Linked DNA regions of Styela clava. The protein of the gene in region 1 purifies or fractionates together with the protein of each later gene. This does not show direct contact. Links are inferred from orthologs where the notes say so. Each region holds a gene or a part of one and is shown in the gene's direction. Other genes may lie near its edges. The genes, in order: cullin-1-like, F-box/WD repeat-containing protein 5-like, F-box/LRR-repeat protein 4-like and F-box/WD repeat-containing protein 2-like.

Region 1 (6,975 bases):
ACTGTCGACCATGCTATTCTCTCTCAAAAACTTAGATATTTTGGCTTTCGAGGTGTCGCAGGCAAGTTATTAAATGATTACCTGTCCGGACGTTATCAATATGTGGAGTTAGATTCTCACAGGTCTTCGTTATTACCCATCCATTACGGAATTCCACAAGGTAGCGTATTAGGACCTTTGAATTTTTTAATCTTCATAAACGATCTTTCAAATTGTTCAAATTTCTTGAGCAAACTCTTCGCCGATGATGCCTGTCTGCTCGACAGTGCAAAGAATCTAATCTCACTGCAAGCCGAGGTGAACACTGAAATTAACAAAGTGTATAATTGGATGGTATGCAATAAACTTACTGTGAATGTTAAAAAATCTAAAGTTATGTTGTTTGGTCCTAAAACTCGAACCAGACATGAAAACTTTTCAATTAAAATCAGGGGTGTCACACTCGAAATTGTCCACTCTTTCAAATATCTTGGGCTTCTTATCGACGACAAACTAAATTGGAACACTCATACTACTGAACTGCATAAGAGACTGTCAAGAGCAGTTGGAATCCTGGGTAAGCTCAGACATTACGTCCAGGACTCAACTCTCCGAACCATATACTTCGCACTTTTCCAGTCTCATATACAGTATGCTATAACTGCATGGGGCTCCGCCACCCAATCAGCGTTGCACAGTTTGGAAGTTTTACAAAATAGAGCAGTTAGAATTCTCTCTAGAGCACCCATTCGATCTAACTTAAACACCCTATACTATAAGACCAGGGTGTTAAAATTAGCCGATATCTATCAACTAGAGATTTCCAAGGTCATGCATCAGTTTCATAGCAACCATTTGCCCGCTGCTTTCGACGATTATTTTGTTTCGCTCAGTAAAGTGCATGATCATAACACACGCTCTTCGACAAGGTCTAATTTATTTGTACCCAGATTTTCTCTAAGCAAATCCCAAAACTCCTTGAAATATAAAGGTGTGGTAACTTGGAATAATATTCCCTTAAACTTACGTAACTGTAGTTATGACACTTTCAAATTCAAATACAAAAAATTCATGCGCTCCCTTTACCTTTCCACTGCCTCTACATCCAGTTGATGTTGTCCCAGCAAATCTTTTCGTCACTGCCAGCTCATCATTTGTCTCGATCCAAATCACCTGTAACAAAACAATGCCTCGTGTAAATATTCGTATTGTATTTTAGCTTATAATTTTAATTGTGTATTCCATACTGATGGGCACAAGCCACTTGACAAGTATTTCTGTCACCAACACATTGTGGGTTGAGGTAAAGCCAAAAATTATATTACTAAAATTATATAACAAAAAAATATTGCAGGCTTTTTGCCCTACTATTGAGCCCGCTCCTCAATGATCTTGGTCTCCTATTTAGTGTGTAATTTCTTGATATCTATTCTGTTAACTGCCAATGACAAATTCATGCCTACAGTCCAATGCCCATAAATACACTTATTGTTACCATGCCATTTTACATGCCTCAACTGGGATCCAAACTTAATTGGCATCCTACTGATTACTTTCATTATGGGCAGTCAAGCCTAATGTTGTATTTGTTTTTACTATTTATAATGCTTCGGTAACAGTGATCCAGGTCAATTGTTTTTATCCTTTTGATTAACTTAATTTTTTTTTTAAATTTTCCTAGTCTACTTCTATGGTATGATACTCACTTCATTGTGTTGTATTAATACTGCTGAATATTTCGATGTATATTTTCCTCATGTCTATACAATTCCCGTATGTGAATCTTTGACTCCAGCATCAAAACACTTGTTAGTCCAGGTCAACATTTTAGCTTTTACACTACTAGCTTGTTTCTGCCTCAAAGTGTCAATATTTTGTTATTTCCATACTTGATTGGTACGGTATTCTATACTTTTACAATTTGCGTACTCTTAACATCCAGTTTTATTTCAATCTGGACACTTATATGCACACAATCGACTTGTGTTGCACTTTACCGTAGCCGAACTATTTACCTGCCATGACCACACTGCAAGTCTGTTTGGTTCACTTAATAATTTCCATGGTTACCTAGACTGTGGTGCATGGAGTCGATTTTCTTATTTTTAAACGGCGATTGCTTGGTTTTTACCGGGTCGCCTTGACGCATCGATTGCGTTTCTTTATTTATTTATCAAGTAATATATTTTGTTCGATTTAATTATATTTATCACGTTTTTGTTAGACTTCCCCGAGGGTGCCGCCGCTCGATAACCAGAATTGGTTTTCGGCGTCTCCTTTCACCCTGGAATGCGGTCTTTTATATTTTCTTTATTTGTGTATGTAAAATTCGTACTTTCAGCTTGGTGAAGAAATAAATTACTGACTGACTAACATTAAATGAAAAGCACATGAAGACTTTTCAATATATCTTTTTAGCTTGTATATATATGTATTTCGTTGTTTTATATTGTTCTTTCCTGCAAGTTACAAAATAAATGATGACGGTAATCTATGTCCTTTATTGGGACTTTCCATAGTTGGCAACCCTCCCGGAGGGCTTATATTAGGATCATTTTTAAAATTCAGGCTAGGTCTTATTTTCGGGTTGGATTTTATTTTCGGGAAAACACGGTAGTTATTTGCTCTATACCGCCACACTGCCTTCATCTGAAGTCGTTTTATTTGTGTGCTATGTCTCGCCTCGTCCGCTTTCTGGCTTTAGCTGTTGGGCTGTCGCTCAGTTAATTTGACTCGCCGCTACTTCGCCTGTTCTTTGTTCGCATTACATTGTTTGTTGAGCTGGTTGTCCGAGCCGTAGATGTTCGTGTTATTCCAGTATTCGGCGATTTTCGGCTTGAATACGTACAGACTTATCCAGTATGAAGCGCATGGCGGTATAAGCTACGTTATCCCAACAATTATCTGGTTAACTTATTTATAATTTAAATACTTTGTATTAAAATCAACAACAATTCGATTATTCGGTGATTTTTAGCTTAAATACGTGTAGACTTATCTAGTATGTAGCGCGTGATAGTAAGCTACGTTATCTCCACAATTCTCTGTTTATTTACCGATTTAATTACTTCATAAGACAGTAAGAATATCAACAAAATACTGGAAATATGTGAATCCAGGAATCCTTAGTCCTTAACAAAAACACAATTCAGAAATTGGTTGCTAGGTGAAGTAATAAGAGCAGATTTGTGGAAATGCAACGGAGTTAGACTACCTAACTCATTAACCAGATTTTAGAAAATCTGAATTATTCATTCCAGTATTCTGGAATGAGGTGCACTAGCCTACAGCACTAATGCGGCTCGGTGGTGCGGTGCATCGTTCAAAGCGTTAGAAATACGCTCGCCAAACCCTGCATGGGTTCGCAGGTTTGAATCCTGTGCGATAGGTATGTCTGTATGTGCAGAAGCATTGCTGGACTCATCGCCGCCGTAGGGTCAGAGGGTGGTTCACCCCACATAACCCTGGTCGATTACGGCATCCTCCACCATCAAGTCCATGCTTCTGTGCTTCCGAAAACAAATAACTGGCTAACTGATCTCAAGCAACATTGGCTGGTCTCCGGGTGAGAGGCTGTGGTTCGCCATATGATTATGCCATCTTATTGGCTTTCCTCCCCCCCACGTGATAAATTTTTATATCCTAACTTAATGCCTGAATGTAAGTTAAACTAGACACAATTTTTCTTCTTATCTTAGCAGTCTATTTGCTCTGCAGTTTTCAACACAACCGTTGTTACTCGCAGTACTTAAGTCAGTACCAGTAAATGTTCTTTTCATGAGTTCTGTTGTATTTATATTTCGACTGTCCTACTCCAGTACTGCTTTCCAGGAATCCCACTAAATTTTGTATTGTATCAAATGAATCTGATCCTTTGTAATACAGTAATAGCTGTGTGAATATTAATATCCTAACAATAAAGCATTATGTTATAATTTTGAGAAAAAGTTTACGATACGGTTATATCTGTAGCCAAGATTCCTACTTATCTTGATCTGTTTTCTATTCAGCTATTACATAAAAAAACATAACAGTGTATCAGATGTCAATATTTATTTCAAGATAACACTGGTAACTTAATCTGTATATTGCCAGAAGTTGTAATCAGCAAACTTCATAATGTCTAAGTAAGCTGTTTTTCATTTTCTTCATGTGGTCAGCTGTCATTTTTTCACAAATTTTCTATTTGTATAGGTCAGTAGGTGGTTGATTTAAAATGTGTTCTTTAGAAGTGTACGTTTCAATCTGATCTTAAAGTTAACTGGTGCTCGATTGGTGGTTACTTAAGCCAGATGGATAAAAAAACACTTTATTCTTTGTAATTACCAACACAATGTCGATTCTGGCAAATCTAAGATTTGAAATCCATCTTAATTTTGAATTTGTTACACATCCATCTTTCATTACTTAAACTGTTTGAAACTTTAGGGACAACTTTCATTTTGTGAATGATATGGCTTAATGTGAATATCGATAACCTGCTTTGACATAATTCAATAGCCTATTATGCTGAATCCTGTACAAAATTGAAATTTGCTTTGCTTGGGACCATTTTAGACTACATTATACATATACATTATACAAATTTTATTGATATATTATAATAAATGTATTTTCAGTTCCAGGAAATCTGGAATGAACTCTGGATCACTAACAGGAAAACAGATTGGTTTAACACAAATATGGGAAGATTTAAAACAAGGGATGGATCAGGTAAATCCTGCTTAAATTAAATATCAGGATGCAAGTGTCGTCATATCTTCTATTTAAATTAAAGTTACATCGAGTGGAGCGTCCGAAGTGACTATTTTTATCTGATAAGTCAGCAGGACGCTGCCGGGCTGAGGTCAATCGAATATCCCATTTTAATGTCTTATATCTGTCATCGATTGAATTCGACTACCCAGTTTATCGTGTGAAAAACGTCATGAATTTTTTCTGATGACATGAAAACTTTTATTTATAAAAGCAATATCGAATAACCTTCTGTGTAAAATAATCATCTGTATAAACATATTTTTCTGTGTTTATCCTATTATGGGTAATCTCTGCTACCACTCCTTCGTGAAATGTATATACTTGTATAAAATATTTCATCACATTCAAATGTTGTAGAAAGGCCCACACTTATATTTCTTGGTAGGAAATGAAAGTAGCTTCAAAACAAGGCCACAACTTACTTTGGTTACAAAGATACGACGCTAGCCTTTATTGCTACCAAATATCACCTAATTTTTAATTAAAATTTGAGCCCATCCTGTATGGGGAGGGAAATTGAAGGTTGTACAGGAAATATAGAATTTAATGTAAAAAATTTAATATTATGAATGATAATTGCATTCCGTTTCATAAAACATTTTTATCAAAATTTTCTTTTTATATATGGCAATACTTCTTATTTAAGGTTTACACAATCAAAAGTATGACGAAGCCAAGATATATTGAACTCTACACGTAAGCGTTATTGTTGCCACCATAATTTAAAATTGTATTGAAATTTAATGATTGCCACCCACTGGTATTATTTTACATATAGTCTAATCTAGATTTACCATATTAGGTTAATGACAAAGAGACAAAACAAATGAACACCAATATGAATGTTCAATTGAATATGTCGCGCATCTCCTTATTAATTATATATGTGTATTTACTGTATGTCATATATGTATGCAATTTGACATCGCATGTTCTGGGTCATGGTGGGTTGGCAGAAAAAACATTCTGTATTGTTTCTGAATATCTCTCTATAAAAGACATGTATGATTTATGTCCCAGGTGTCACAATTTATTTTAGATATAAAAATATCATTCCTAGTGGTCTATCCAAATAATTTCAGGCATGTATACAATTACTGCACATGCGTTCAACTTAGTGGGAATTCACGTCAAGCACCAGGTGCAATAGTTTCTAATAACAGTTTCAAATCATCACCGGGAAAGAAATGGCAGAATGCTCAAAGTGCACATTTTGTTGGGCATGAACTGTACAAAAGACTCCGATCATATTTGCAAAGTTATTTATCTAGTATACTCCAGGTACGTGAAATTTCCAACCACCGGTATTTCCAAAACTGACTGTTCATTTATTTTGTTATCTTTACCAACAAATTCCTTCGATGTGATTAGTGTTTCGACTTACACATTAATCATGTTGAACTATTTTTTTTTTCATATACCGGTAATATTAATGTTCCAATATTTTCTTGAGCTGGCTATTTGCTTCTAAGAAGTTGAATTTAATTCATGTAGTCATGGATTTAACAATTGGATCTATTCATAGTTTCGGTACTTATATATTTTTTTTATATATTCTTGATTCTATATATAATTTAAAACAGTTTCAATGTGACCAAGTGGCAGATCTATATGGTCAAAAATTTAATTAGTGACTGATGGCTGTGAAAAATAGAAAACGAATCATACTTTTCCGAATTGAAACTCATTGAATAATGAATATACATTAATATCTGCATCGTTAATCATATCCCAATTTGAAATATATTCGATAATTCAAGTATTTAGTACAGCTGGAAATATCCCCGCGATTATCCAGTATTTGACTGTGTTGTTGTTTCTATCCCCACTTGTTTTGATAATTAAGATTGAAAATATTGATTTTGATGAATTCATTTTCAGGAGGGGATTGATCTTCTTGGGGAAGATGTTTTGCATTTTTACACAAGACAATGGATGGGTTTTCAATTCAGTAGTCGTGTATTAAATGGTGTTTGTGCCTACTTGAATCGACACTGGGTTCTTAGAGAGTGTAATGAAGGAAGGAAAAATATTTATAAAATATATTCCGTGAGTTTTTTTATTCATATTATACTAGAATTTTCTGTCTTGACTATAAAGATTTTGAAAGATTTTACATTGTTTTTTTGTCAATATGATCCAATACAAAACAAGTTAGCAAATCAATCTATTTCATGATCAAAAAGTCATGGGTCATCATACTCATCAAAGACTCATCATTGTTATTGAAAGAGTCAT
Region 2 (7,937 bases), on another chromosome or scaffold:
ATGCAAACATCTACGTCAGGATGGTCCAAAGTTGTGGGCTCCGCGGTCCACAAAATTATTTTGGCATTGGTCGCGGGCCACAAAATAATCAAGAATAGGTAAACAGTGCAATACAAAACTAGCACTTCTATTGTGTAAACACATAGGCAGTGATGAGCTGTAGCCGGAACGCACCGGAACGGCGTTCCGGTTGTTGGACTTTTAATTGCATTTGCGTTCCGGTTGTTGAAATAAAATTATGTCATAGAAAGTCTAGTTCTAGTACATCTTGTAAACTTACTTATTAACTTACGTCTTGTTACGCCATAACTTTTTTTACATTACGGCAGACAAATATTTAGTGCACAGCAATAACGTGTAATGGATGTTTCGCCGACCTCTGACCCCGTGAAATTTCATCCAATACCTTTCTAATAAACACATTCGTATTGAATTGGTATAAATATTCTTGTAATTTTGAACAGACATATACCAGATAATTTCTTCATATTTCATTGTAGTCCTTCGGCTCTATCTCAGGACAGACAAAAATTTGTGGTAGCGTCCGCGTCATGTTGTAAATATAAATTACATTTTCACAAGTTAGCTGCGTTCCGGTTGTTACGATTTTCCCAGCTCGACTACTTAGGGCCGCTAAAACTGGAAAAGGCATGATCCGGCCCTGGACAGGTTATACTGAGCTTTTGAATTATAGGAACCTTCATTGCCGCTGCTTCAGGATACTAGCAAGTTCATAACATTATGACGTGAGAACATAGAAGAGACCTAAGTACAGTAGGTGTGTTAGTAAGAAGCTTAATTAACACTGTTCTGAGTGGCTGAGTGTGGTGCAACTACCGTACCGATATCCCGGAATCGGTATTCAGGCATTTAGCCATTAGAAATATTGAAGTAACGGTGCAATACTACAATTTTAAATACTGGTATGTATAAAAAAACAAATCTCCGAATTACTGACAACTGACGTTTATCAAGTATTCAACTTACAGAAAAATGCCATTTAATCGTTAAACGACTGACCGTTTTTAACAGTAATGTTGTTAAAAAAAGCCAGCTGTTCAACGTTTAAATGGCATTTCACCGTTACTCTTTGAAGTTACGGTGAAATGCAATGTAAAATAAGTGATGACTGACCGTTTTTAACAGTAATACTGTTAAAAAAACAGTCGTTCAATGTTTAAATGGCATTTATCTGTTACTCTTCAAAGTTACGGTGAAATACTAGTTGAAATATTTAATGTTTGGCCGTTTTTAACAGTGATACTGTTAAAAATCGCCAGTCCTAAAACGTTTAAATAGCATTTCACCGTAACTTCAATACCATTAATACCCGATTTTACTGAAAGCATCAGTTTGGGTTAATACAGTGACTAACTCTATTTGCTGTAGTCAGCGCCGATTTAACCATTGCAAAAGTGAGTGCAGTACAATGTAACAACAAGAGTCATTAAGACGTTTTTTGATAAATTCAAGTTCACTGATGTAAAGCAATAGGTCAGGGTGGTCCAGACCCAGACCCGTCGCTTCATTATCTATGTTCCGCGTCGCATTTCCGGCAGGGTAAACAAAAAAATCTCATTTGGTGTCGTTTCGTCATAAAAATAGCCAGAAAAATCTTTTGACATATTGCTACATCACTAATGTCACTGAATCGACTAATTTAATGGCTAGCTGAGACTAGCGTAGTTGAATAATGTGCTTGGCTAGTCTAAATTATTAACTGCTGTGTGTTTGCTTTGTTTTGCACTGTTTGCCTATTCTTGGCAATATTGTGGCCCGCGAATAATACAAAAATATTAGTGTGGCCCTCGAGGCCGATAACCTTGGACCACCCTGCAATAGGTATGTATTTGCAGCAGGGGGTGCAGTAATAACATTGAAAGATTAGCAAGTGATGGGAGGCAGAATAATTGGATTTAAGTACTGAAATTGATGTACCGGGTAAAAGTAAAGAACATGTGTTGCGGAAATGAAAAAAAAATGGGCAGGTCTAAACGCTGATATATCAGGCTCCAGGGTTTTTGGATGATATAAATAATTCGGATGGTTATATTCAGGTGCTGATAATACGAGGGGAATTACGGTATACGATTTGTTAATTTTTCGATATTTTCAACGGAAATTTATATCCAGTTATCCACGAAAACTATAGTCATAATTCCAGCAGGAACAAGTGGGCGGGACGAAACATTCCAGTGGGCAGGATCCGGCCCGCGGACCGTAAATTGCCCACCCCTGGCATAGGATGTCACCTAACCCTGTAGTGTAAAATATGAATAAAAACGTACTAATGCATCTCGTCGGAATGCAGACCGATCGCTCTTCAATAATAAATGTAAACAAGTGAGTGATAATCAAATATATCAAGACGAAAACGAATTAGTATTGGTATGCAATCTGTCACAGTATAGACCAGGGGGCCGCAACTACTTTTTAGCGCGACCCAAAATATATTTTTTTTAACTTCTTGCGACCCAAGCATTTGGTAAACATGTAATTAGGTATTGATTTTAAGACTATTGTCGACGCTAGCATTTTTCTTCCACAAAATTATATGGAACTTAGCACAAAAAATTGTGAATAATAGCGAATAATAGCTTAAGATCTTCGAACAATAAATAACGATATCATATCAGTCCGACAAGCTACATCCCCATTAGACATCGGCTACAGTCAGATAGCTGAGGACTACACGACGCGCCACAATATCGCGTGGAGAGAATACCATAACGCATCGCTCAAGCGTAATGTGTAACCGTAAATATATACTACTACGGTAACCACTGTGAAGCTAGTAGCAAACCTTCTTCGAATTGTGCGCAGCGGTGCGTTAAGTCTCGTTTTTGTGCTCATTGAAGAGTGATATTACAGTTTTGTGCTTTTTGAAGGGTGATGGAGTAAAACGTAGGCGATTTCTAAATTCCACACGTCATAATTGCTCTCGATTATAGAATTGCTCTCGATTATAGATATGGAAGAAACATCAAGACCAACCATCCGAGACCAACAATCGCCGTGAAAACGCACAATTGACGATTTTCACAGCGCTAATGTTGTTATTAAAATAGCCGATTATTTTCGGCAGCGTGACGTGTTATTCAGCCGTAATGACAAATAGCGGAAGACAAATGTCTTGTTTCATGAAGAAAGATTAAAATTACATATTGTTTATTTAATTTTGTCAATTGTGCGAGCGAGGCACTTTTTATTCATTGTAAAAATACCGGCGGGAAACTAGCGTAAGCAGAGTGTTGTACTGCGACGTGTAACTTGACACTGTAACTCTGAGCGAGTCTTGCCGATTTTCATCAGTGAGGCTTTTTCCGTGTTTGTTCCTGGTGGAGTGAGTCGCGGCGGTGTGGCCCATCGTGCTAAGCGTTAGGTTCGCAGGTTAGTTATGCGTGAGAGGTATGCTAGACTTCTCGCCGCCGTTGGGTGGTTCACGTTACCGCTGGTCGATTACGGCTTCCTTCGCCATCAAGTCCATGCTTCTGAAAACTAATAACTAACTAATCCTATACATGACATGAAATGGTAAACCGACGAGAGGTCGTTGTGCGCCATATGGTTAAGCCGTCTTATCGACTATCTTCTCCCGAGATAAATAGGTAAATCCTATCCTGAGTTTATGTCAAAAATGTTGATTCACAAAGATAGGTTGAACCAAACAATGGTCTCGTAATAGAAATAGAATTGCTGTATGATTTGAATTGCCAACTTTTTCTGTCTGTACTGCGCTGACCAGTGAGTGGATAGTTAGCGCGGTAGATTGCGCGACAAGATGTGAAATATCTCTTTGCTTTGCCGTCGCTACAATCGCCCCACAAATGAGACGTAAAAATATATCCACCTCCCATCCATCGTGAAAATGATGGGATTTTCATCGTTTTTCTGCCATTTTACTTTGGGATCAATTTTTAGACTATTCAAAATGTTAAGAAGTTCTACAAATATGTTATTATATGAACATGTCTTCAAATTACTTAAGTTATATAATGTCATTATATTAACAACAATATTCCTCATTAAAACATAGGTCTAACATAGTAGTACCGTACCGGTATACATCCGGTGTTGTTTGCGAACATAAATTACTGTAATAGGTAAATATAATTGAGTGTAACTCTATATAGCAATACATATTCTCTAATATCTTATGTAGTTGAAGCACAATATGACTATCCCATATTTGTGCCTGTGAAATTAGGTTTTTATTTGGACTTCACTACTGTACAGCTGTACTAAGTGAATAGGATTCACATATTTATCCTGGAGGAGAGGAAAGGCGATAAGGCGGCTTAACCATGTGGCGAACCACGGCCTCTCGTCCGTTACCATTCCATGTTGGGTACAGGATGAGTTAGTTATTTGTTTTTCGGAAGCATGGACTTGATGGTCAGATAGTGGACCAAGACATAACCGACCAGCGATTACGTGAACCACCCTATGGCGGCGAGGAGTCCAGCAATTTTCTCGCACATAATCAACCCCGCATGGGATTCGAACCTGCGAACTCACGCAGAGTAATCAGAGGTGCGGTGGCGAGCGTATTCCTAACTCTTAGCACGATGAGCCATAACCACCGCGAATGATATTCCAATGTCCGCATACATATAATAAATCTTAGGATAGGATTTACATATTTATCCCGGGGGAGAGGAAAGGCGATAAGACGGCTTATCCATATGGCAGTATGGCGAACCGCGGCCTCTCGTCCGGTTACCATTCCAAGTCAGGGAAGCGAATAGTTATATTGTTTGTTTTCGGAGGCATGGACTTGGTGGTGGAGGAAGCCGTAACCGACCAGCGGTTACGTGAACCACCCAACGACGGCAAGGAGTCCAGCAATACTCTCGCACATAACCATCCCTGCATGGGATTCGAACCTGCGAACCCACGCAGAGTAATTAGAGGTACGGTGGTGAGTGTATTCCTAACGCTTGAGTGACAGGTTGAGGCAGTACCGGTAAGGTTTAAACATTTGTTTTAATGAATAAACTATGTAGCCTAAGTAAAAATGTTACACGTGAATATGTTGCTTTCTTAGCGTAATATGTTGTAAATGAAATAAATCTGACCTAAATTTGTGATGTCTGCAGACTTCTAAAGTTTGAAGACAAAAATGGGTACAGACCAATATTTCCAGCAGAAATCTGGAAACTGCAACAAAAATAAATTTGAAAATTTGCACCATGGTTGGAAATATCTTCCTACAGAACCACTTATTCAAATTTTTAAATTATTGGGCTACAAAGATCTTGGATGCTGCTCGCTAGCTTGTAAAAGATGGTTTGAGATCGGAAATTTAAATTTTCTGTGGCAAAGAAGATTTCGCCTTGACTTCAAGATAGGTGAAATGGATTTAAGACCTAATGGAATGTCGTGGAAATCAGAATATCAGAGAATGGTAGATCTTGTTCCTAGTGTAGAATTCGAAAGAATTCTTGAGCATGATGATGAAGTTTTACATGTAGCTTTTTCAAATAATGGTATGATGTTTTGTACATGTTCAAAAGATGCATCAGTCAAGGTGTTCAGTGCAGACTGGCCATTTGACACAATCTTCAATGAACATTTAGGGAGAAGTTCCCAATTTAGGTGGCTTTATACTCAATATTCACAATTTAGTAGCAGCGATACTCAACTTCTAGTTTCTGGAAGATGTGAAGGCTCTCAACAAGGAGGAGAAATAATTATATATAATATTTTTATTAAAGAGTTCACTCTACAGGCAAGGGTGAGAATAAAGCCATTTGATGTAATGGGAACTTGGCTTAATGAAACACATATCTTGTCTGCAAGAGCTCATTTGCTAGCAGCCCGTCGCCAATGTCTGTGTGAAGTCCTTCTTAACAAATCGAGTCAGGAAATAGAAAACCTAATGCATTCGACGGTAACGCGTGCATATATGTTTGCTTGTGAAAATGACAACACTGTGAGTTATCTTCAAGTGGCTGATATGAAAAAGGTTATATCACAAGTTTATAGGGCTGTATCTAATGATTGTTACCAAGGAAAAATACATGATATGCACATGAAAGCATTTGGCAAACATAAAGAATACATTAAGGAAGCAGAATCATCAATGAATGCCTGCAAAAATCATGAAGCGTCCACTCCATTAGAAACTGTGTCTTCAATCACTGTGAGAATTTCTTTGGACAAAAACAACGTTCCATCAGAAAGTGATAAAATTGTTGACAGATGTGATGAAAATGTTCTATCTTGCAGTGCAAGAGTCACCAATGATATATATGAAGGAACATTTAGCAATTGTAAAAAGATAAAGCTTGATAGTAGTGTTGTCTCTCATGATCACACATCATTGAATACAGAGGAGGAATCGTCTGTTTTGCTTCCTTCTGTTAAGCGATGTATCACTGATTTTGAAAATGAAACAGACAGCAGCAATCTATTTTCTGAAACAGCAAGTCCTCAGCTGACAGATGATGAACTAGACAGAGATGATAGTGAATCAACAGAAGTGACAACCGGAGATGAAGCTTCGCAGCCTATTAATTCACCCTCACATTATAAACTACTTTTATGTTTTACTGGAAACGACTTCAATGTTCCTCATCAAATCGGAATCAAAAGAATTGAGCAAGAAGAGTGTACTGATGTCATTCGGCAAAAGTTTGAGTCTGATTCGATTAATCTACAAGGGAGACCTCAAGTCCGATCTGACAACTGGGACCATGTTATCGAAATGGGTGGTCAGTTGGTGGGTATGTCAATAACTCCTTGCGGAAGATACTTGTATGTGAATGTACGTAAATGGGATGAAGAAGTTCCACCTCGGCATTGGGCTCGGGATATTTCATCGAAAGTTACTATGGGTTTAATAGACCTGATTTCAATGGAGGAAATTGCTACATTTGAAGGACATGAAGCTTTCAGTGATGTATTTTTTCTTCATATTTCATGTAATGATTTGTATGTTTCTAGTGGATCAGAAAATCTCAAAGGTTACCTGTGGGATAGATATTACGGAGTTTTGCTCTCCACATTCAAACATGTGGATGTTGTTAATTGTGTTGCTTTGAACCCTCGTGATCCCAGCATGGCTGTGAGTGTAAGTGATGATAATTCAATCAAAATATGGCGATCAAAGTCATTTCATAGACTATTGAGCAGCGCAAGAGCAAAAGGTCGTATGAAGTCTGTGTCATGTTCCTGACAGAAATACATAGGTCTGAAGTGTAGGAATGCAGAATAGTATCATTCAATTCAATGACAAGGTTACCTTATATTATTTATAGTGCAGAGGTGGCCAACGTGATCGATCGCCGTATCTTGAGTGGTTCAATCCCGCATATTTGGTTAATTTACTGCAAAAATTTGCATCCAATGAATTTCAAACAGGGCTTGAATATTTCACTTTAAATGTAACTTAGGCATTAGTGAAACCGTAGGATGTTTTAAATTTATCTATCAATTCCGAGTGAACCAGAAGGTTTGAGCAATTATGCATCGTGCACTACCTCCATTTGTAACTTTACTTTTCAAATGATGTCTTGACTAGAAAACGCATGGCTCTCCCTACCATCAAATTTTTTTGATACAATTTTGTCGACGCAGACTACAATGAACCCCAACAGTAACCATACTCATGATGCTATAAGAAATCTGTTACTTATATTTTTTTACGGAACCCCGTATTTAAGCAAAATTTTTGCTGGTTTCATTTAGTTCCCTGAAACACGTCATAATATTTATTTTAACATTTCTGTCAGTTTGTTATTTTAATTTTTACCGCACTTATCTTACTAATTTAATTGTTTGTGTTTTTAATGCGAGTCTCATTGGTCTGACTCTGTAGTAATACACAAACCAAACTGAATTTTATCCAATCCATAACTCCCGTTTGTTTCTGACGCATTTGGAGATTCTCGTCGACGATAGGCTACAAATTTAGTACTCGTCCATTTTTTTGT
Region 3 (7,978 bases), on another chromosome or scaffold:
AGGCTTCATACACCATCCAGCACATTGTAAAATACCTAAGTTGTTAGTTGTCAGCCTGGAATATATTTAAAATTGGATATGACCAATTTGATTTTTTCAGATTAAAATCCAAGATCCCGGTTTTCTTCAACCAGAAAATGATGAAAACGTGAAAGTTGTATCAGTGATAAAACAATGTTTGATAAAAGACGCAGAAATTGAGCATCAGATCGTAAAAGATGGGTATGAAAATGTATAATATCTAAGAAATTGTAGTTACAAAACTGCAACTACAATGCTGTACCATCACCATGTAACATCACTTTTACGGGCTGCATCATTTCTATATGGCCTAGCTTCAGTTGCAGAACAAGTATTCAACTCACGATATTGATATTTTGTTTATAACATTTTTACCAATGCCTAAAAATAGCTAAGTATATCAGTTAGTATCGCCACCACGCCATAAAGTTACTCGTCATAACGTGAGCATCGGAGTGCGCAGTATTCACTCCACCTGAACTACACTTGATATTAGCCTACCGACTTCCATCCTACAGTTGCAGAGTTGTATCATCCCGGGACGAAGCACTTTCTGAAGCATCTGAATTGTGGATTTATACTTTTTTTTTTATCTCTAAATGACATTATTAGACACTTACAAATATATTTTATTTTATGATTTCCAGGTGTTCAGCTTTTGGAAAAACAGAAATCTATTCCAGCGGTACATCATTGGAATCATCTTTGAAAGTTAACTTAAATAAAATTGTATCATCTGAAAGTACTAACGCAACAATAAGATGTTTTATGGATTTATGCATAAAAGGATCCTCCAATAACTGCCAACCGGTAAAGCCTTGTATACAATAATCATGTTTGTTCTAGACCAGAAGAACTCTGGTGGCGACCACTACCGGAAAGTCCGATTCCATCCTCCCAGCAAGATTACCAAATGAACAATTAGTACTTGACGTTTTTTTTGGTAACTCTCTTATCATTTTGAGAAAGTTGAAAGTACAAGATAAAATTAGAAATAGGGTGCTGTCGGGCCCATCAACCCACGAGGTTAGCGAGTCGAGTCATTATGGCATCGTATATCACCCGTTTAAACTCATTTGAAATTGGGTAGGAAATATCGAAGCTGAAGCGAAGACAATTCTGGAACCTTACTAGCTCCTCTTCTATCAGTGGGTAAATGTCCTAAGCTCTATTCGTAAAAGCCATGCGCAAAAACAACAATCCTTAACTCTTTTAATAATTTCTTCGCAATGTAGACTTTTCTAATTGTAATTCATCAACAGAAATGTACGTCACGAAGAAAGAGAACGTTGAACGATGTTATAAAGCCTAATTCCTCTGCTGATTCCACAAACAAATATTTTCTCAAATTCAACGGCGAAGAATTTACTACTACGATATATTTGATGAAACCAACAGTTATTCCTTTAGTTGAATCCACAAATTACACAGACGCAAATGTGAAGCCAATAAACACGAAGAACAAAATCAATAGTTCCCGAGAAGAAGACGAAATTCATCCCAGTAAGCTCCTACTTTTTTCCCCATATAGTTAGTAGTGTACAGTAAATTATTAACTGAACTAAATGAATTACCGAAGTTCAAGTAAATCTGTTTCGTATAAAATAGTTTGTCTAAATTTTCAAATTGCATTGTAAAATTCTAGTATTTATATTAATAAATTTTTTCTTTTTTTACAGAACTTCTTTTAATCTGTATATTCGGCGGGTTAATTCTTATCTTATTGATTGTGTTGATTGCCGGAGCTCTATTATATCTTAGACGAGTGTGGATAGCACATGATGAAAAGTGATTTTTGTGGAATTTCAGAAATAAAATATTTTGTATTATCAATGTATTTGTATTTATTAACACGAAAGAATGAGTAGTTTTTATTTTTGTGATTGCTGGGGTATTCGGCATTTGTCCCGCGTGTGACGAAAACCCATAAAGAATCTGGGCTTGAGTTAAAAAATTGTGAATTAATCTGGTTAATTCTCACGTAGAGCGTCTATGAAAGCCATTCCGTGGGCTGGTTTTACACATTGTTCTCTCACCACCGCAACCATAAATATAATTTAATTAGCAGGGTATATTCAACCGTTTCTTGATGGTTTCGTGTCCCACTTTTTTTGTCATGGTGAAATTAGATTTTTTTTACATAAAAATCAATCACAAAATTGCGATAAAAAATTACCATACTATGGGATCCTGATGAAGCTGTTATGCTGATTTTGAAGATTTCAATTCGAATTATTGGACACGAAACGTACATATGGATTGTTCTGTTATTATGTTGTTGTTGTTATTCTTGTTGATAGTATTTTTTTTATTACCGTTTTGGAAACATCGATTTTCTCATTAATAACTACTAAACCGATTGCTTTGAAATTATCAGTGGTTGAAGATTGTATTTTTCGCTAGAAGTGGCCTTTATGCGATTCGTGTTTTGTGTGCGATGACGTCATCAAAATTGCTAATTAATTTGATACCAGAAGCGTTGGTTTTGCATTTATTTTTGTACGAATTTGGCGGCAGCCCAATTGACGACTGCATGATCGTACCATTACCCCACAGTCTGTAGGCTTTTGACAAGCAGGAAGATATGGTGATACAATTCAAAATTTCAAGAACTCATTAATTAACAGCAGGTTCCCAAATTTTTAGAAATTGTATGTATCTCACTACGTAAGATGCATTAACATGACACGCTTTAAATAAATCTAATATATAACAAAAAACGCCCAACATACCGCTGATCTTCAACTGCGGTGCACGACCACGACATTCCAGGGATGGATTCGCGTGAACTCCCTGAGTGCCACTGGTGATAGGCAAGAAAGACAAACGCTAACTCTGCCGGGATTTTAAGGAGGCAATAGTCCGACCACAAAACCAACTCTGGAATGTCCCAACTAAAATGGATATGTTGGCTATGTCCCGATTAAAAAGGCTATTTCACCACTAATATATTAGTTGTAGACAGGAATGTGAGTTTCGAATATTTTTTAGGATAAACTGTTGTTAAATAACTAGTGAATAAATAAGGTTGGTAGTGAAAAATATATTTATTGGATGCATCGAATACCCAAAATAGCCGTACATGATTTTTTTTGTTAAATAGAGATACACTCAATCACATATTTATTTTTATTAGATAAATGTTCGTTTGCGAATAATAAACGCCAGTTAATATTGCTTTAGTACCGCTTGCGTCTTGAGTAAAAAAAAGCAATGATTGCGGGAGAAACGCAGACCTAGGTCTCAATAAGAAGTAATTATTATAATAGTGTTAAATCGATGGTTCTAAGGAGAGATGATATAAAGATATATTTTCAAAACTTTTTAACGTTTTAAGTAATCGAACTAAATTTGGGCGAAACCAGTGAGTCTTTCAAAACTGCGACCCATATTAAATATAACAACCTCAGGAGTGTTACGAATTCGGGAAAGCTGTAAACGCAGGACGAGACCCTTTTGGTCGATGATGACACGGCGCCGTTGCGTCAAAAGGATAAATTAACATTTCGAGCAAATAAAGTCATACGATAAAATCCGGAATTTTGAATTGGTAAAATTCTGAATTACTTTTAGAATAGTTTCATTTGTAATTCTATCATTTTGAGTCATTGAAGCACGGTAGTCTATGACTTGCGGCATTGTAAAATTGAAACTCATTGAATAACATCCAATTTCTGGTTTATCTTCCAAGACTTCGACTTCCCTGTGGGCCACACGAGCAAAGACCTTCATGGGGTATTAGTCTTCATGCCTACATTAATTTGCCTACAGGTATTTATGAGTAGATTGACTACGATTTGTTTACTTCTTTTCTTTGACTATAATGCAACTATTATATCTGCTTGCGTTTGTTGGCTTTCTCATTATAAAACGTGGAACATTAAATAGATGATGGAAACACGTTACAAGCAAAACTGAATAATTTTATAGAAGCTCAGGGGTCACAAGTGTTGAGGTATTTCGAAGGGAATCCGATCATGGGAGTTTGAAACCAGTGTGTTGCGCGTAAGGAATACGCTTGCTATCGCGCCGCTGATTACCTTGCGTGAGTTCGCAGGTTTGAATCCCGTTAGGGATGATTATATGCAACAGCATGTCTTCGTCGTTGTAGGGTTCACGCAACTACTGGTGATGACGGCTTCATTCCATCCGTCTGAAACAAATAACCAGCTATCTCATCCAAAACTCGGAATGGACTGGTAACCCGGGCAAGAGGCCGCGGTACTCAGGCGTAGACTTCATGATCAGTCTTATAGGATTTCTTCTTCCCTCAGGATAAATATGAGACTCCTATCCTGAAAATCTTGAAATAAACGATCCCTCTAACGGTAGCTCTGGCATTAGTATCTTCTCCTTCACAGAGAATACCATGGTCTATCTATTTTCATTCAACGCCACTTGTAAAGCAATGGTACACAATCATGCCTTTCGAACTTTTCTTACTGCGAGTACGTGGTCTTCCAATATATCAGATATCAGAATTCGAAACGTTTGACTCTCCCTCGGTAAATTTTATGACGACGCAGATGACGTTGATGTTTTCATGCCAGCGCACCCGAGCGTGTTGAATTTTACAGTCAGCTGACAAAACGTAAACAAAGGTTGCAAAGTGTCAAGCGTCCTTGAGTACAAATTATACGAGAATAGGATTCCACCTGCAGGAGAAAGCAAATTCGTTAGATGTGTGAAAAATAGATAATGGTTGGATTATCAGGTAAAGCCTCGGCGATACCGGTATCTGTCTTCTTTAGTTATAGCTGTATTTTATACTCTAGTCTGTTAGTGCAGTCCGGTAGTGTATTGAAGTACCTATATTTCAGGATTTCCCGATCACTACTGCGGTATATTGTTATAGATCTACTGCTATAGCCTAAGGCAATTCGTGGCTGAAGCTGTCTGAAAGTCCTCTTTTTGTGGAGAGCTAGCTAAATATTTTTTGAATTACTGATATTTAGATGATTAATATTGTTAGCTGTTAGGGTAAATAGATAAATTGTTAAAGAAGTGACGCTGCTAAACTATGCTTTTATAAATGTCTGATTGTAGACAACATTTCAAAAGCGCAAGAATGAAAAGCAATCAACCAAAATTTATCAAGCAATATGCCTCTGGTGTAATCGACTTTAGTTCACAGTATGGGGGAGAAAATCCCAGAAGTGTCTCCTATTCGGTTGCAAATATTGCCGGAGAACCAAGAATATTTCCATCGTATGGAGATTTCACTCAAGCTGCAGTGTTCCGAACTTATGGCCCATGGTGGAAAGATAAAAATGAGGCATCTAAAGCAACTGGACATCCCAGGTTTGATATCACTTTACAAATTATTTACCGTAATAAAAATGTTAACGGAATTTCGTATTACCATATTTATTCATGGGGAGAGAAAAGAGGATGAAACTGCTCAATAATATGACTATGGTATATACAGAAATCTTGTTCTCCGCTGCTGAAAGTTGGAACATGACGAATAAGTTCCTTTTGTGTGATTAGTTTGAAAAAATTGTTGCAGTAAAGCTAGGCGTTCTATAATTATTGTTATTCTTGTACAGGGAAAAAAACTTCTTCAGCAAAGATTACATTGATTTAGTATTTGATCAATCTGTCTACCCATGGTCAATTGCCATTTTTGAAACCTACAACCCTGGAGCCGTGGTCAGGATACTTGCATTAAGACAATCATTTCCAGTACATAATATTGGGTAGGTAAATCATTCTTTTGCTTTGATTTTTCAAGTTGGTTTTCACTGATATTGTAGGGATGGGCAATGTAGAATAATTTTCTATTCTAGAATATTCTAGTATAGTTAAATCGAATCCAGAATACCGAATCCTATTCTATTTTCATTGGGAATTTCCACATTGCTGGATTTAGATGTTAAAAAATTGCAATGTATTACTTACTATAAATGTATTATTTATTTGGAAATGACCTGAACATTGGATTTCATTTGATACTAAACAGGCAGTTCCCAGGACAATAAAATTTAGGAATATTACAATATTTTTTGCCATCAATTGTTCCAAATGTATGTAATCCCTAAATCCCTAAATCTAATAAATACTGATATGCTAAACTAAGACACGCTTTACACACTTTAATAGTAAGCGGTTAAATACAAAATAGACATGAAACGGCGTTAAATCATTATTAATGTAAGTCTGTCGAGTGTACTAAAACATACCCGCTGAGAATTAATTAGATGCAGAACCAGCGTGTGGCCACCGCAACCTATGCGCCTTTGTAAAATATTAAATTTAACCACTATCAATTAAAATCAACTTTTTATTCTGTGCGAGCAAGACACGTTAAACCAAGTTCCCGTAAACGCGATTTCGTACTTAGTTATTAGGTAATAACGTCTAAAGACGAACTCATTTTCTATGATTATCGTTACATATCATTATCTACCCAGACTTGGCCCTACTAAAATTCAATACGTCACTATCTTCGCCAGATGCGGCAACTTTTTTCAAAATTCATCGTCGTCTAAAATACTACAGACTTTCGATCAAACGTGCTTCTATCTTGAACGATAGAAATGTTATCATTAATCATTATCTACCCAGACTTAGCCCTACTCAAATTCAATACGTCACTATCCTGGCCAGATGCGGCAACTACTTTCAAAATTTATCGGCGACTAAAATACTACGGACACTCGATCAAACGTGCGTCTATCTTGAACGATAGAAACGGACCGAAAAATATGTAATGTTTTGAGAGTGAAATTTAAATGTGACAGATGTTCGCGTTTTGCGATATAACTTTGTATTTCGGAAAATGGTATAATAAAATTATTAGTAAATAATATTTGATCGCAAGTAATGTTATAACATTTAACGCCTGGCTTTTGGTTTACGTGCATCATTTTTTTGGAAAACTCGTAGGTCGCGAAAAATCATTCATTTAAAATGAAGCAAAGCACGTCTGTAAACAATCAAAGATTGTTGCATTCAGATTATCGGAATATCACCAGTGAGTCGGCACAAATAACGCTAGCTAGATAGCAAAGAAGGAAAACGCAAAAATGGTGCAATAACGAGTCTTCGCCGTGAGGTTATATTGCCGACTTCTTGTCCTGAATATGCCGATTGAAATTACAGTGTTTGATGTTTACCGATTTACGGGTTCTTTGCGAGCAGAGCAGCAAGTTTAATTAAACGAGAGAGATTTGCACGTGAGAAAAACGCTCGTCTATAATTGATAAATTAGAAACCCGAAATACAAAAATTGACGAATGGCGCCGGAAAGGCGGAAACCGAATCCTGTTATCGGATCGCGTTGGATTCGAATACTTTGGGATTCGAATCCTCCGGATTCGGTATTCTATATTGCCCATCCCTACTGATATTGAAATATAGCATTCTCCCTATTATCATGATGTTTTATCTGGAACTTATAATTTTATATTATAGGTTTAATCAAGCTTTTTTTTTCGTGAGATAGAATTCAAATCAATAATTCATAATTGATTGATGAACCCAACTTAAAAGTATTGAAGATATGATTTAATATGCTATAACATTACAGAAATATAATATACCATAATATATTTTTCACAAATGTGTTTTAAATTGAATCTGTGATAAATTGTTTCTTTTACAGACTCTCTCAAAATGAAGAAAGGCCAATGCCAGTACCGGTTCCATTTGCACCAGGATGCTCACATTGGGAGGTGCTTATGTTTTTGTGAATTGTGTGAAAATTTTTTCAAAAACAATTGTCTAGGGCAGTGAGCAATTTTTGTTTTCATGCAATAAAAGTGAGGTCATGTGACAGCCATAAAAATTTGTTTGCAGTTTGCTGACCGTCAACTGGTATACAGTCATCATGATTTTGCCCCTGGGCATCCAAATATAAAGTGAAACGTTTTGATCAATTTTGCAATAGAAGGGATGTGCGTTGTTAATGAAGTTGTTTTAAAGTAGGGCGGGTAGCAATAATTTATTCTTTAGC
Region 4 (7,358 bases), on another chromosome or scaffold:
GCATCGATTTCTTCTTTCAATCTAACACATTGTAAATGAAGACTGTTATTCTCTTGTACAAGACGAGCGTTGTCCTTGCTATATGGTTCCAAAATATCATCAATATTTGGATTAGCTGTTGGTGCAGCTGCTTTATGCAAATTAACTTTTGCCTTCTTCAATGAATCTGTCGTGTGCAACAAATCCGAGAACAATTGATTTACCAGCGGCATAGAATCGATACCAAAGGCATGACGATAACCCAGTTGATCCAACTGCTTTCGCAGGGTCACAAACTTTTGTTCTGTAACTTTGTTCATCGTGAATCATCTGCAAGGAAACAATTCATGGATTAATCAACCTCTTAAATAGATTACTATCAACAACATTCAACGCTGGCTCATGATTTTTTATGCTAGTGCGCTCAAAGTGGTTTGCAGACTTTTCTAAACACAAAACTGATCGAGTTATGATTCTGTTTTACATTCACCTTGGAAGTTATTGAAAAACAATAATATATAAATACACAAATATTTATAGTGTTATTTACAGATATTTATTCACCATAGTAGCAACATATATCGCTAACTGCTGCACCGTAACAACGGTTATTTACTAACTATGCTCGGCTTGCAATCACTGTCATAATTGATGTATTTTAATGTGGGGCTTCTCTCTTGGAATCGGAGAACTGTGACGTACTGGATTTTGAATATATCTTTATTCAAATATTGTTCGTTTGAAATAGAAAATGGCATCCAATAAAACAATAGTTATTCAAGTACAACAGAAATGCATACAAACTCCTATTTTAAATATTCATCTGATTTACTGTGTCATGATTTTTACAGATAGGTATGCAAACGACTCAAATCTGCATTTTATTTGCGACCACTATACAGATTTTGGGTCTGGTATAGTTTAGTACCACATTCACTTCTAGTTAGCCTGGCTCAACAATTTTTGCATATGTCAATCCTAACCCTTACCTGACTACGTCACCAAAAAATTACGTCATCTCGACGTCGCAGTGGCGTAATAAGGCCCACCAAAGTATGTGGATGGTCGTCCAAATCGCGCAGACGATCACCCGAAATCGAGCAAGCTATTTCTCTCGTTTCCTTGTCACAACGATCACGATAGGAGAGAGATCGCCGGCTTTAGCGAGTTCGTTATCGGAGGAGCAGATGCCATTTCGGGCGATCGTAATTATAATTTGGCAAGCCCTATGACGTGATGGTGACGTCGTAGTGACGTAATTTTTGGATGGCATAGTCAGGTGGTGGTTAGGAATAAAATATGCAAAATTCGTTATGCTACGCCCAATGAAAGTACTTGTGGTACTAAACTATACTAGACCCCAGATTTTATGTAGTCTAAAATCAAGGCATGTCTTTTGCAGTTTTGTCAATAACATCTTTCAACAGTCTGACAGTTTGGCACAGTTCTCCATTCCGAGATGTCCCATCATTCAGACATCAGGTTCAATAAAACAAGCACTCCCTTGTCTCTCAAAAAAGGGCATAAACTTCCTGGGCAACTCAAAAACACAGGTGTAATAAATATTTATATTATAAACAGTGAGGACAGAAGTAAAACTGTTCTATCTAGGTATCATTCAGACAAATGCTGAATTGCCAGTTTAATCAATCAATCAATCAATTTTATTTCGGTCGCTCTGGTATAAAACAAAACAATAAACGAACAAACACAAAATTAATTTAGTTTAATTAGGCTAACACGTTGCAGGCAGCCTTAAGTATTCTACAAAAAATAATTATTTCAATAGCTCACTTGATCATCCTTCGTTAGTAATAATTTATTCCATATCCGATTCTTTAATGAGCCTAACAATGAAATACAACCAACGGCAATAATCCGCGAGCGAATCGTCAAAATCGACGAGGGACGGCACCGCAAAGTAAACAACACAGCATACGGTAAGTTTCGAAAAACAGAGGGAAACGGTTGACTGTAATTTTTCAATTCAATAGCGCCATCTAGCGTCTCACAACTTCTCAGATAAGATCGGACATAAAACATCGTTACCCTATGTTCTCTATTATCGTTTCACAGCTCTGTTGTATGTATACCAGTATACGATATTCTTTGACTATTTAATAATCCACATTGTGGAGCTCGTCAAAATGAAATATATTACAGGTACCGGTTTTGATACGTTATTGATAGTAGTTTATTCCTAGGTAAGTGATGCGAATTTCGAAAATATATCTCTTCCATACGGCAGTACGGTAAGCAAGTACCTTCACGCCCGCCGACTGGCGGCAGCAGTAAAACTGTAAAAGTCGGGGTAATGTTTTTTCAGTTCGGTAATATGCTTGGGGTACTATATTTCTGTATTTGTTTATTGCTGATCAATTTAGGCCATATCCATTTCTAAGGAGAGTTCTACTCGTGTTGACCAGCCAGTCTAGTATAGTTCAGTAGTTTAGTATCACTGTACAGCTGTAGGCTACCATGATTCTGTAATTACTTCCAGTTGGCATAGCATAACGAATTTTGCATATGTCTGTATGTTATTCCTGACCCCCACCTGACTATGCCATAAGATCGCCGTGGACCGAATAGTAATGTTTTTATTTAGACGTATGAAGAAGCAACTGCGAGTTACGTTTGACTCATAAAATTAATATATAAAGATATTTCAGAATCTCGTAGTTGTCATGGATTGAATATTTTACGTGACAAGATGATCATTATACGCTGAAAGGAACGAGCGCGGAATCGCGGTGGCTGTTACAGGAGGCAATGGGAATTTCCGATTTCGAAAATCGTGAAATCCTTGAAAACTTATTGCTAATTTCAGACATAACAATATGATACACATAATAACAATATAGTTCACATAAATTAATATACAAATATACTGGTAGGTAGTAGAATACTCTAGACCAGGGCTTCCCAAACTTTTGAGCTCGCGGCCCCTTTTGATATATTAAAGTTTTTCGCGGCCCTTGTTCACGCTAATAATGCTAAAAAGTTCAAAATATGCTTTTTAATATTTTATTGACACAGCCAATTCTTAACTTTTAATAGGGCTACTCAATAACAAAAACATCTTTACTCAAATTATTCAATGTAATGGTGCAAATCTTTCTTGCTCAACTCTGCCTAGTTTTTCTTCAAAATGCTCAAAACTCACTCATGTTCGATGAGATTCTCATGTTCTGAAAGTTCGGTTTTCTGTAGATAAAGATTATTTCTACTTGGTTCAAAAAGCGTTGCGCACCACATCTCCTTTGCGATTTCGTATTTATATTAAGCAGGCTTTTCTACCATGGCCCATTGAATTCGATTTCACTGACTGTTGTTAGATTTTGTTTGTTCGTTTATATTAAACTCAATGCAAAAAAGGTATTATATTATATTAAAAGATATTATATTGAAATGTATCAATACGTACGGTATTTTTCACGGGAAGTCGCAACTTGAGCATATTTCTGGAGGTCGTCACAATACAATTAAGTTCGAAAACTACTGAGTCCTATAGTTGAAAGAAATCTACTTTTTAAATTGTTGATAACCTATATGTAGCCGCTATTTTTAATGGAAACGTGCTATTAAATTTGTATCATATTCCGGTATTCATATTTCGTATATTAATCTCGTTATTCTCAACATCCCCCTAAAATGAGCTCCAGTGTTCAAAAGAAAATTGATGACAATTATTATCGGGAAAACACGGTGTGATGATGTATATTCACTCGGAATCGTGAATTTATCGTTTTACACTATTTTTAATGATTGTATTTCAAATTAGGAGTCTGAAAAAGTGCAATAGATATAGTACTTTGTGTAAAATTGGTGTTCTCTTCGCGACCCCTTCCAGGGCCGCGGCCCCTAGTTTGGGAAGCCCTGCTCTAGACATAATGGATATTCGAATGTTGTTCCTTGCTTCAGTTGCCTGTATTGCCAATGAATTTTATTACTCTCAGAAAATATACACACTTATCTGAATACAAGTAGTGTTTTTGTCAATAGACTTGACTATTATCGTAAAATCATGGTACCATTGATAGAAAGCGTCAGACAACTCCTTGGCTATCTTTTCTTATGGTCATTTGTACTAAGTGTACAACTGACTGTGTCACAAGTTGCTATTATTTTCATTGATAGCTATAAACTATCAATTAATTTGTGTACATATACTGTTGGTTTGTGGCTTTATTCTGATATTTCTATTGAAGCTTATTTCCTATTTTACTGGGTTTTAATGGACTAAAACTAAAAAAAATATGTTATTTTCGATTTTAGAATGTATTCGGAAATGGCCATCCCTGCTCAAACCTCAAATAAGTTAGACATTTATGGACCTCAGGGGCTTGGAGTCAAAGTTTTTAATATATTGATATTATATGATTATATTGATATGATTCTTTCCACAGCAAGTATTTTTTTGGTCCTTTGAACATTTTAGGAATTATTTCGTACATATCCCACTTACCGTAATATGCATATAACTGTTTTTTTCAAGTTTTATATCTATTCTATTGATAGATATATTTATTAAATATATGTTTTTTTTATAATCAGTATATAATTTTATTGAAAGACTAATTAATTCGTTCTTGGGGTTTCGTGCTGCAATGGCAATATCACATTCTTCTATTCATTCTAAAATGAGTAATGCTTATTGGCACCAAAAAATTTTCTTCCAGATAATGCCATTGAATTCCAATTGTCTAGGCTCATATACTTAACAACAAACAACATGCTTTAAATTACTTGATTATGCAATAATATTCCTTGCAACAATATAACCCATTCGTTACACACTGTGTGAGGCTACGACATATGTCTGGCCCATGCCAGAACCATTTTTAATATTTTAGACCTGTGTTGTCATCAAAGCCTGGGCAATATGCTATTTATTTAATCTTACTTCTGATACTATTTTTTAGCAAATATGGCAGAAAAAATAAAATTTTCTAAGATGAATCACTGGTTGTCCAAAGTTGTAGCAGACTTTCAAGAATTGTCAACTGAAGATAAAATTACAGCATTGGATGGGATTATAGATGCATGTGAAGCACCCGAACTGAAATATCTTTCAGATCGTCTGGAAATATTTTTGAAGCGGGACTTTGTTCGATTTCTTCCAACAGAAATATGTATTTATCTTCTGAGCTGGCTAGATCCCATTTCATTAGGACGATGCTGCCTAGTCAGTAAAACTTGGAATGAAGCTGTTTCTGCGTGTCAGCCAGCATGGTTAAAAGCATGCAAGACTATCGGGTGGAAAGTGGATGATTCCATAATGTCTGGAGGTTATTGGAAAAAAACTTACCAGCGAGCTCTGATAAGACTACAGCAATTAAAAAGTGGTTCTGCTTTTAAGGTATTAACTTTACTTGGACATACGGCTCGTGTATATACTCTTCGATACAACGGAAATAATTTGATGGCGTCTGGTTCAGATGACCGAAGCGTGAGACTTTGGGATGTGGTAACCGGAGAATGTTTACAGATTATACAGACTCATACATGTGCAGATCTTGCATTTGATGAATATTTTGTGTACACTGCTTCTTTCGATAACACGATTGGATGTTGGGAGTGGAGTTCGGGAGACATGATTCGGAATTATAGAGGACATACTGGGGCTGTTTTTAGCGTCTCTTATGACAATGAAAGAGAGTTGCTTGTATCTGGATCGGCAGATAAAACAGTTCGTTTATGGCAACTTTCAACAGGTGAACAAATAAACATGTATCATGGACATAGAGAATGGGTAACAAAAGTCATTTTAAGAAAGAGTGAAGTTGATTCCCTTCACCATAAGCCTGGTGATTATGTTATCTTATCTATGGACAAGGTTGAGATAAGAATATGGCTGATAAGTGAGGAGGTCAACTGTCAAAGTTTATGTGAATTATCAGCTACTGATTGTAGTGATAAACTTTTATCAAATTCAATGCCATCTTATCCTACTACTCCTCTTAATACTGATGATAACAATGAACATTGCTTCCTTCATCCGCAACTTCTTTTTGATGGCACACGGATTATGTGCTCATCCGAGCGAGGAGTATTGGAATGGGATTTTAAAGACTATACTCTAACTCGAGTAACTCCTCATCAAAACGACCCATCTTTTCTACTTGGAGCGGGTAAAACTATGTTTTTTGCTGCAGACACTCGAGAAAACTGTTTGTTTATTAGAGTGCTTGATAGCACCACAGAATCGCAACATCCTAATTTGTTAAACCGTAAAAAACTAGTGTTAGAAAATAATCCCTCAGTTAGTCACCCAAGTCCTAGTCCGGAAACGGTCGACTATGAAGTCGAATCAGAGCCCTGTAAGGCTTGTTGCAGCAGTTCATTACCTGAACAATCATTAAAACTTCCAAAATTTTCGACGAAACTAAGCCTGGAAGTTACTGAAACCCCAAATACAGACGATTCTGCAAGACATCATGGTATACCTAATAGTAGTAGCACAGTTGAAGATGAATTAATTAACGATATCAATTATAACAGTATTAAATTACCAAAATCAAAGACTGACAGTCATATTCCTACTGTAATATCTAATAACATAACTCCCGACGATGGAGGCACTTTTCAACTCCAACAGAATGTTGGAACGGAAAGTCTTCCAGGCGTTTTGGGGCGGTGGAATTTACCTATGTGTCGTTGGTCAAAACGAGGTTCAAATTATGTTTGTGGAGATCAATCGTGGTTGAATGGTTTTAGTGATGCGAACCATTCCGGTTTAGTATTTGCAGCGGCGTTACCAGACCATTCTATATATTTATTACAATGGTCTGATTGTTCATAGTATTATTGTTGTTAAATAATCATAGCCTGAGAGAATTTAAAATAAATATATAAAATATATGTAATGTTCTATTTATTAAAAAAAGCATTGGATATTCAGATAAACAAAACTACTGCCATTTTAGTTTTCAATACAGTAACAGCACAATTTTGGGAATATTGGTGATTACTGAAAAAGGGGATAATTGTAATATATGGATTGAGCACAGAAAAAGAGTACGAGTAGATTGTTAGAAGCGGATTATTCCCAGCAGTAGTCCAAACCCCTAATTTAGATTTGTCGATATTCCTTTATTCCTAGGCTAAATATTTCCACTGCATATTGAGACTAACTATAATATAGGTGCATCAGCGGCATGGCAATTAATGATAGGTAGCCTCCAAGTAAAGTGTTTTTTTTATTGGAAGTGACATCCGATTTTTGTACACTTTGTTGTTTAGAAAAATATAAAATATTATTGATATACAAAAATAGTTATGGTAGTTGATAATAGCTAAAATGTAACAGTTTCCATCATTAATATTTTGCTTTCAACAAGATTTTTCAACCAGATTTCACGAAATCTTGATTTTCCTGG

Evidence for each region.
Region 2: the proteins of cullin-1-like (region 1) and F-box/WD repeat-containing protein 5-like purify together in Homo sapiens (affinity purification with western blotting; 9 studies listed by BioGRID and IntAct, with this or other methods). This does not show direct contact. The link is inferred for Styela clava from reciprocal best matches to the Homo sapiens genes CUL1 and FBXW5.
Region 3: the proteins of cullin-1-like (region 1) and F-box/LRR-repeat protein 4-like purify together in Homo sapiens (affinity purification with western blotting; 4 studies listed by BioGRID, with this or other methods). This does not show direct contact. The link is inferred for Styela clava from reciprocal best matches to the Homo sapiens genes CUL1 and FBXL4.
Region 4: the proteins of cullin-1-like (region 1) and F-box/WD repeat-containing protein 2-like purify together in Homo sapiens (affinity purification with western blotting; 13 studies listed by BioGRID and IntAct, with this or other methods). This does not show direct contact. The link is inferred for Styela clava from reciprocal best matches to the Homo sapiens genes CUL1 and FBXW2.

What each region holds. Positions count from the first base shown.
Region 1 is NC_135252.1:8,233,852-8,240,826, forward strand, and holds the start of cullin-1-like, read left to right. Parts: upstream 1-3,958; 5' UTR 3,959-4,098; coding exon 4,099-4,106; intron 4,107-4,598; coding exon 4,599-4,692; intron 4,693-5,383; coding exon 5,384-5,433; intron 5,434-5,819; coding exon 5,820-6,018; intron 6,019-6,618; coding exon 6,619-6,786; intron 6,787-6,975. UniProt on the Homo sapiens protein: Core component of multiple cullin-RING-based SCF (SKP1-CUL1-F-box protein) E3 ubiquitin-protein ligase complexes, which mediate the ubiquitination of proteins involved in cell cycle progression, signal transduction and transcription.
Region 2 is NC_135255.1:1,742,026-1,749,962, reverse strand, and holds the start of F-box/WD repeat-containing protein 5-like, read left to right. Parts: upstream 1-4,936; 5' UTR 4,937-5,122; coding exon 5,123-7,180; 3' UTR 7,181-7,937. UniProt on the Homo sapiens protein: Substrate recognition component of both SCF (SKP1-CUL1-F-box protein) and DCX (DDB1-CUL4-X-box) E3 ubiquitin-protein ligase complexes.
Region 3 is NC_135250.1:8,735,984-8,743,961, forward strand, and holds the start of F-box/LRR-repeat protein 4-like, read left to right. Parts: upstream 1-4,955; 5' UTR 4,956-5,053; coding exon 5,054-5,322; intron 5,323-5,570; coding exon 5,571-5,720; intron 5,721-7,627; coding exon 7,628-7,697; intron 7,698-7,978. Other genes in the region: uncharacterized protein LOC120348461, read left to right, coding at 101-222, 669-831, 1,284-1,524, 1,701-1,813. UniProt on the Homo sapiens protein: Substrate-recognition component of the mitochondria-localized SCF-FBXL4 ubiquitin E3 ligase complex that plays a role in the restriction of mitophagy by controlling the degradation of BNIP3 and NIX mitophagy receptors.
Region 4 is NC_135258.1:9,386,668-9,394,025, forward strand, and holds F-box/WD repeat-containing protein 2-like, read left to right. Parts: upstream 1-4,905; 5' UTR 4,906-4,906; coding exon 4,907-6,781; 3' UTR 6,782-6,840; downstream 6,841-7,358. Other genes in the region: centrosomal protein of 135 kDa-like, read right to left, coding at 1-299; A-kinase anchor protein 14-like, read right to left, coding at 7,275-7,358. UniProt on the Homo sapiens protein: Substrate-recognition component of the SCF (SKP1-CUL1-F-box protein)-type E3 ubiquitin ligase complex.